Coturnix japonica: one gene and its partner. The protein of the gene in region 2 interacts with the protein of the main gene of each other region in a pairwise test. Links are inferred from orthologs where the notes say so. Each region holds a gene or a part of one and is shown on either strand. Other genes may lie near its edges.

What was found. The genes of interacting proteins can lie anywhere in the genome.
Region 1: the proteins of DAPP1 (region 2) and FXN interact in binary tests that used the Homo sapiens proteins (3 or more experiments, as listed by UniProt). The link is inferred for Coturnix japonica from reciprocal best matches to the Homo sapiens genes DAPP1 and FXN.

Annotation. Positions count from the first base shown.
Region 1 is NC_029547.1:31,019,279-31,023,521, forward strand, and holds the start of FXN (frataxin, mitochondrial), read left to right. Parts: upstream 1-1,443; 5' UTR 1,444-1,519; coding exon 1,520-1,648; intron 1,649-2,450; coding exon 2,451-2,533; intron 2,534-3,575; coding exon 3,576-3,696; intron 3,697-4,243.
Region 2 is NC_029519.1:54,061,541-54,065,673, reverse strand, and holds the start of DAPP1 (dual adapter for phosphotyrosine and 3-phosphotyrosine and 3-phosphoinositide), read right to left. Parts: upstream 2,801-4,133; 5' UTR 2,726-2,800; coding exon 2,670-2,725; intron 2,616-2,669; exon of another isoform or gene 2,447-2,615; coding exon of another isoform or gene 2,430-2,446; intron 1-2,429. UniProt on the Homo sapiens protein: May act as a B-cell-associated adapter that regulates B-cell antigen receptor (BCR)-signaling downstream of PI3K.

The DNA of each region.
Region 1 (4,243 bases), on a different chromosome or scaffold from region 2:
ACGAATAAAGTATTTTGTTCTCAAGACTATCGCGGCTGTCAGTGTGCTCCTGCTCTGACTGTGTCTCATGGACTTGAGTGGCACCTCCAGAGACGCATCAGCTGTAAGTTGGCACCTGAACTTGTCTTCTGCCAGCTCTATAATGAAGGGGAGAATCTTAAGTTGCACAGAACAAGGAAAGGAAAAAGCAAAGGGCATAACAGTGCTCCAGGTGCTTCACTGCAACGTGTCAGGTTTTTCTCTATTAGCAGCTGCTTCAAGATAAATACAGATGCTGTTTTGGTTCCCTTAATTTCTCCAGCAGCTGAGAGACGGCCACAAGCACCAGCTACCATCAACCAAAGACTTTCTACCTTGATGTGACAGTGTTTAAAAGCAAACAAACAAAGAGAAAAGGCCACGTAGCCATTGCTTCAAAAGTTTATGGGAGTCAGGGGTAATAGCAGTTAATGCAGGAGTACGAGCAGGTGAACCTGCTGCACTGCCAACACAGCATTTGGCACTTTAATCCCTAAAGTTCCGCTTTGTACCCCTGAAGGAATTTTGCATTGGCACATTTTATACTGATCTAATCCTGTAATGTCAACAAGGAGGAGGTTATTGCTCCTCTGTTGTGCACAGAATAGCAAAATCTAACCATGGATGGATTTTCTTCTCTTTGAGTCTCTATTAACCTGGAGCCTGTGTGCCATGATTGCCCCTTTTCCATGCTTTGAAATTGGATTGCTCAGTCTCAGCAAGGAGATGACCTTGTGTCATTAAAGCAAGAGACAAATCTGCGTGCCCCAAGGGCAAAGGATACTGTAGATGAGAGCTGTCTGCTCCACCACACATAGCGTGTACCATATTTAAAGTGCACCCATATGCAGACAGTTAGGGTTAGTGTCATTTGGAGTAAAATAAAGGAGCTTTTTAGCACTAGGTTAACCTCCAGAAGGCAAATATCTGTCAAGTATTCCCCTAAACAACCCATAGGGGTGTAGTGTCCAATTCACCCATCTGTGGGAAGACTCCAAGGGACACCAGATGTAATTGCAGCCATTCTGTCCGAAACCACAGTGTCTATATTAAACGATTTGCAGAATGAGCCACACTTTGTGTACAGGGTCTTTAACAGTTTCTTGTAAGTGAAAACAGGCACTGAATACTTGAGATAGGAAATCCTGGCAGGCTACCGAGCTCACTGAGACAACCTTCAGCAAAGCGCATGCACTTCCAGCTCTTCCCTTCTTGGGGTTTTGTTTTGTTCTGCAACTATGTTACTCTACTGGGAGCAACAAGGGATGGCAGCTCAGCAGCATTCATGGTCATAACTTGGATACTGTTTCTTTCTCTAGTACGTGAGACGCTATGAAACACTGAAGGTTACAAAAGGTTTTGCAACTCTTTAAGGAGTTTTTGCAGCCACCCGCTGTGCTCGCGGCCCGGCCCCGCGCTGCTGGTCGGTGCCGGCGGAGGGCGGTAGCGGCCTGCTCGGTGCCGGCTCCTCCCCGGCCTGTTCCGCAGCGAACGGGGCGGCATGTGGAGGCCGGGGGCGGCCGCTGCTGTGCGTGCGGCACGGCGTGTGGCGGCGGCAGCGCGGCGGAGGAGCGGTGGCCCCGGGGAGGCCTCGAGGGCGGGGGCAGCAGCCGCGGTCCGCAGCCGGGCGGTGAGTGAGTGAGAGCGGGCGGCGGCGGCGGACGGGAGCGGTCTGCGCCCAGGGCGGGAGGGGGCGAGCTGGCGGCGCCGGGCCGGGCGGGGTGCTGCCGGTCCCGGGGCGGGGAAGGCGCGGCGCCGGGCCGGGCGCTTCCTCCAGCCCCTGCGGTCGCCCAGGCACGGGGCCAGCCGAGGCCTCGCCGGGCCCGCCTCTCCGCTAGGCCGGGGCTGCTGGCAGCTTCCATGGCACCGGGTGCAGCCGTCGGGAGTGAGAGCAGCGATGGAGCCGCAGCCTCGTGGCCTGACCCTGAGGGCTGGAGTGGGCCCGTGGGTTTGGGCCCCGAGAGCATCGAAAACGCGGAGGGGTCGCAGTGTCCTTTATGGGCCGTCGGGGTTGCGGTGGCACGGGACGGTGCTGTGCTCCGTGCTGGGATCGCGGCCTGGGAGCGGCCGTGCGTCCGCAGCACCGAACCGAGCAGGGAGGAGCGTTGTTTTCCTCTCCTGAGCACGAAGAGGCGCGGCCGTGTGCCTGTTAAAACGGCATCTGCTTTTCTGCGCGGTCTGATGGCTTTCGGTGCACACGGAGTCGCCGGGTCACCCAGGAAGAAGCGCTGTCCCGGGCTGTACATGGCAGCAGGCCGGCTGTGCCTGATGGACGGCCCGTAACGGTGTGTCCTTCCCCTCAGAGGGGCTGTGCCCGGGTCACTGAAGGATTCCCTGTATAGTCCTTCCTACAGTGGCTCTGTTTGATTTGTGTGACCAATACACAGTTTGTGGTCTTCACGTTATATCTTTTAATTTCCCTTTTTCAATAGCAATTGCAGTATGCTGCGGAGGTGAGGAGCAGTGCTGTGCACTTCATGAATTTAAGAAGTACAGGAACTCTGAATGACAAAAGGTAAATTTCGTACTCAGGATATTCTAGGGATACCTGGGTGCCTGAGTTGTATCAGTGTACAAGCCCTGTCTGATCCTGATGCCCTCAGTTCTCCACACCTGTGGGGTGTTCCTGGGGCAGCCATGACTCAAGTGTCATGCAGTGTGTTTTGGCAGCTGGCTTACAAGAAACCTAAAGAAAAATACACAGAGCATTCTAGTCAGTTGAAAGACACTGAGTCACCTGGTTCATTATAACAGTTGTTTTGCCACACCTATTAGCAGAATACATGGTTTCTCCCAGTTGTCTGCTGCTGGAGATACCCACCTACATGCTCAGTTAAAAATGACTCTGCTATGGGTAGAAGAACGTAGGAGATTTGATTACGTTTGGTTAATTAAAATTATTTAGACTTTGTTCTCACTTCTTTTGCTTGCTTAAAGAGAATAACAGAAGCTGTCTCACAGATGTTGCAAACCTTAATTGTTGGCTACAAGGTGCTTTGAGACTCTCTGAAGGAGGTAATTGTAGAAGGATTAGTTCATACGCACGTTGTAAATGATGTCCTACACCTGGATTGCATTGCTGATCCCAGCTGAGAAATCTAATGCTGCATGTAGACATAGGGTTTGACACTCATGTTTCTAAAGCTGCTTGTGGCTGCATTTGGATCCTTACTGTCAAATGGTGTGTGTGCCTCAACAGGAGGTGCTTGAGTCTATTTGTGGAGCTTCAAATAGTGCTTCTTGCACATCGTTTTCATAAAAAGACTGTATTTTGAAGTCTGTGTCTGTCTTCTTGATACTCAGGGGCCATCATATCTATAAGACTGAGTATGCCATCTTTAGTTAGAGGTCTCTACTACCCAAATATTGAAATTCCACCTCCACATGTAAAGTGCATTGTAACCTCCATTACCACAAGGAAGATGACTGTTTGTGTCCTTAGAGGGAATGCTAACCGTGAAGCAGTGTTGATATTTTCCCTGTGATAAACACAGCAATGATGTACCACCTTCCCTGTTTTCCCTCCCTCCCACCATGTGACTGTGTGTTATTTGTAGCTCCTTAGATGAGACCACCTACGAAAAGCTGGCTGAAGAAACACTGGACTCCTTGGCAGATTTCTTTGAGGACCTCACGGACAAGCCTTTTACCCCAGAAGACTACGATGTCTCTTTAGGGGTATGTTGTAAAGATTGCATTAACCATTCTAATTCTAGTAGATTTTTATTTTTTACTTCAGAGGAGAGTTCTGCATCAGTCACCTTAGTGACAGCTGTTAAAATATCTTTCGTATTTATTTGTTATGGCTTTACTGCTAAAAACCTGCCTTTTGGTAAGAAGTACCTTGTGCTCTCATATAATTTGAGGATTTAAAGAAAGTTTAGCTGGCTGTGCTGGAGCAACAGAGGATGCAACATTGCAGTAGGTGGCTGCAGAAATGAGAAGCGAGTCTGCCACAGTGGGAAGGCTTCAGTCCAGTGGGACACAGGGTATCCCATAGCCTGACAATTGGAGCCTTTAGTAGGTCCCCCACTTAAATTCTTTCGCAGAGGTGACAGGCTGATTAGAAATGCCATTGTGTTTCTTTCAGGAGTTTATCAGTTTTATATAAAATGCCTGAAATGGGCCATATCTTACAGTTTCTATGTGACTTGGAGTAGACTGTGTTTCTCCCTGTACTGGCAGGTGTAACACAGGTCTTCCCTTTAACATGTTTAATCTGTTT
Region 2 (4,133 bases):
GCTGACTCCAGTCATCCATGCAGACCTCATAAGGAGAATCATGTCAGTTTCTTTCTCCTTTAAACCAATATACATATCTCTTGAAAAGCTTCAAAGCTCCCTTTTAGAGTCCGTACACTTAGAGAAGTAATTAATGAGGTAATGTGTTTTTTAACAAGTGTTTTGATTTTGATCTTCCTTTCGGTGGTGGTTCCACCTATGAACACCTTGACAACGATGCTGACAGTATTCTGGATTTCCCCTTTGAGTTTGACTATCTGACCACTAAACCTCTCAAACAGTGCAGAGGGCTCCCAATAAACAAGGTACCATCTTCCCTCAGACAGCATGAGCGAATGAACAGTTTAAAACAGGGAAGAAAAACGCCAACTCCATCACACTTGAAATCTTTTGTTTTCATGGAAAGGCCCCAAAAGTTCACGTTAATAAATACTGAGGCTCTTGAAAGCAGTGATACAACTTGATAAACCAGCTGTAGATATGCCTAGATCTCTCGGTGACTAGGATTACTCCTAAAGATAACTTGGATTGTTAATTTTTTTCCATTGATTAGTGATGGATGGTATACTCCTAATGAGGACAAAATAAGATGAGGATTTGAGTATATTGACTTTATCATTCTCCTTCCTGCCTTGCTCTCAACTAAGCAGTAATTACAATGTAATTCAATCTAGACAAGCCCAGCAAATACCAGATCCTCCAAGCCCAGCAGAGTGTCAGATGAGTATATAGTACAAAACCTATCTGCATGGCCGTCAACTTTCCGTCCTGATAACCAGCTGATCTGGTAAACTGAGATTATTCTGTCACCCATATCTTTCCCCTTAAAACGCTTCCCTTATCACACTTCTTCAAACCTCCTCCAGCTTCTTTGAATTCTGCACAGCGAAACAGAAGGTCTAAAATAACCCACTTCAGTTTGCCCCAATAGACAGACAAGCATCAAAGCTGCTCCCCATTTGAACGAGTCCTTTCTCTGTTGGTCTTTACTATGGCAATGATATATATTCCTCACTGGAACTAAGACTCGGTTGTGCTAGATACTATGTCGGATATAAGGGAGCCCATCACTGTCATAGCACCAGAGACTAACGTTAAGGGGGGAAAATATTGAATGTTAATGTCTGGGGAGTGAAAAAGTACTTCCATTGATATCTTTTAGACCGTGTTAGGTTTGTGAGATTTTTTCCTCTTTAAAAAATAAATAAGTAAATAAATAAAATTCAACTTCACGCTAGAAAAAAAAGGTTTTATCTAGTCATCTGTAGGGAGTCCTTGCTTGGAATTGCTTGTTCAGTTTTAGTTCATTTAGTTCAGTGCATTGTATTAAGGGGATGGCTGGTACTTTGTAGAAGGATGAAAAGTGTATATTTTCCTCTAAAGCAGAAATAAAATAAATAAGCTTCAGCTTAAAAATGGATCTGGGTAGCTTTCTCACTGAGTTGTCTTTTCTTCCTTGTACCACACTGAGCTGCAATCCCATGGGCCCATCAATTAGGATCAACATTGAAACAAGCAAAGCAATCGATGAGCATAGCTCACTGGTTTAGATAATCTCAAGCCATCTAGTCTAAATGAACAGAAGTTTAGCAATTTGGAACCACATTTTTCATAGCAGTTGCAACTCAACCTTTTTTTTCCCCTGAATTTTTTATTTTTTCATGAGAGAAATCTTACAGCTATGCAGGGAATGCAAATAACGCACACTGGCTACCATTACAAAAGTGACTTTACCTCATTGTTAGATGCTTCAACAACAGCCACTTCATTAACAGGTGCTTTCAAATATGGAAAACGATAAGCTGCATGGAGATGGCAATTCCAACTCTTTGCAGCCCAAGCTCTTCACTAAGTGAAGATCTTTACTAAGTGAAGATCTTTGCTACCACAGACCCTTCCCTTCCTGGTTGTGCAGTGCTGCTCCCCACCCTCTACTTCTTCCCCTCTGTGACAATGCTGTCTGTGGAAAAACTTCTGCTAGCCTTCTGGGTGTGGAAAGCAAAACTATCTGGAGCTGGCAAGTGGGCGAGCCAAGTCACCTGGCCAGTGGTGGGAAGGGAGCTGGACCCACAGCAACCTGCGGCTTCTTTTTGCTGCTGGGCTTTGTTTTGGGGTGAGGGTGGCACCTTCCCAGGGTGCCTGCAGCTGAAGCCAGGGAACAGCTTATTGCCCCCCGGGCTGTGCTGCTGGCTGACCAGGGCCCAGCACGCCTGGAGAAGGCGGTCCAGCTCTGGAGGTGCTGCCTTGGATGCTGGATGAGCAGGTGGCCAATGCCCCCCAAAAAATTCCCTTCCCTGGTCTCACATGGGAAGAACAGCACAAGAAAGGTCTCCCTGATGGAGGGGAATCTGCCACATCTTGGAGGAGCCACAGCCCCCTGGTTATGTTTGAAGCACCTGCCTGTTTTGCTAATAGTTTATACTTCACACCTGCGGCGTGCCAGCATCCTCAGCCTTCCGTCCCGGGGCTGAGCCCTGAGGGGCGCTCGTTATAACACGCCGCCGTCCGTTTACCCCCGGCCGTTCCGAACGAAGCCAGAACTAAGGCCGGCTGCCCCGCGGCCGCCATTTTGCGCGGGGATCCCCGCGCCCCTCAGCCGCCCCCCGGTCGCGGGTCGGGGTGCACATGGACGCCATTTCGGTGCGGACCCCCGCGCCGCCGCCGCTTACCCCAGCGCCCGCAGCTCCTCGTCCAGATGAGCGGCCGGCTCCCGGCCCTCGGTCATCGTCGCACCCGGTGACACCTCGTGCCCGCGGCCGCCTCCGTGTGGCGCTGGTAAGTGCGGGCGGTGCCTCCGGGCGGTGCCGGCCCCTCAGCGGCCGCATCGTTTCGGGGAGGGCCGGAGCGGGGCGGCTCCGTGCGGGCTGTACTACAGCGCTGCGACCGTTCAGCCCTCAGTTTCCTGAGCTGTTTCACGCTGGTAGCTGCGTGTTTGGCGATAACTGGTTTCTACGGCGACTTGTCATTCTTCTCCGCGTGAATTTTAGAGAGATCCCGCTGGTTATCTCTTAGAAACAGCAATAGGAAACTTAGGAAGTTTGCAGTTTCTAATCGTGCTTTCCCTGGCTGCAGGATTTTCTTCTCCTTTGCCTGACCATTCATACTGTCAACGAAGCATTCAGCTATAGACAACTTCATCAATTAACTTTTCCTTCCCTTACTACCTCTGCCTGCATTTGTCCCTTCCTCCATCTCTTAAAGCCTATGATCTAATATTCTCTCTGGTAATTTGATCCTGAAGTCTATGACTTTCAGATAAATAGGAGCTTTTGACATCTCCATGGTTTGCTTATATTTGTTTTGGTCTCCTATTCTGAAAGCTGCTTACTTTGTTTTCAGTAATGCTTCTGCCGAGTCCACTTCAGGTTATCTTGTTTGCCTGTGTTACTAAGAGAGTAAGAGAATTAAAAAGACAAAAAAGAGATGACATAAATTCCAAACAGTGACAAGTCACAACTAAATTTTAGCAAGTTCTAATTATATCACAGGTTATCTTAACATTTCAGCCTTCATACCAGAAGGTATTTTCCAGTCCCCCTGCATATTCTGTGCATTGGTGGCTGTGGTGGGTGAGGGTTCCCCTCTCGGTGCAGATGCTTCCTCTTACATTACATCTGGGAGTGCAACATTTCCTCTTTGTTTACAGAAAGAAATGAAAGTAGAAACTGAACTGTCATGCAGCATGGATCTGCCTTCTGTTTAATCGGGTCTATGCAGGTTTGGTTTTTCTTACATGCTTTAGCCACAAGGCAGGAAGGCTCCACATTGCCAGTTCACATTTCACAAAAGCCAACAGGCTGTAGTGTCGGGGTGTAGGTCTCTTCCCAAGCACAAAATCTTCACGCATTGCATTAGTGTTGGCTTTGAGCGCTGCACAGAGCAGACCTGTAGGTAGCAGCAGTGCTCCAACACTTGCTGTGCAGCCCTGAAAGGAACAGCAGAACAAAGCGTCTGAAAATTAGCACAGGGTTTTCTTTTCTGCCTCTTCACACCTTTCAGTGATCATAAAGCAGAAAGTGTGATGCCATTCAATAACAGTGCTTTGAAATCTTCTGGAACTGGCTGTCTTCTTATAGGTGAAAAAGAAAGAAGAAAAACAAAAAAACTATCATTTTAATTCCAGGTCATAATTA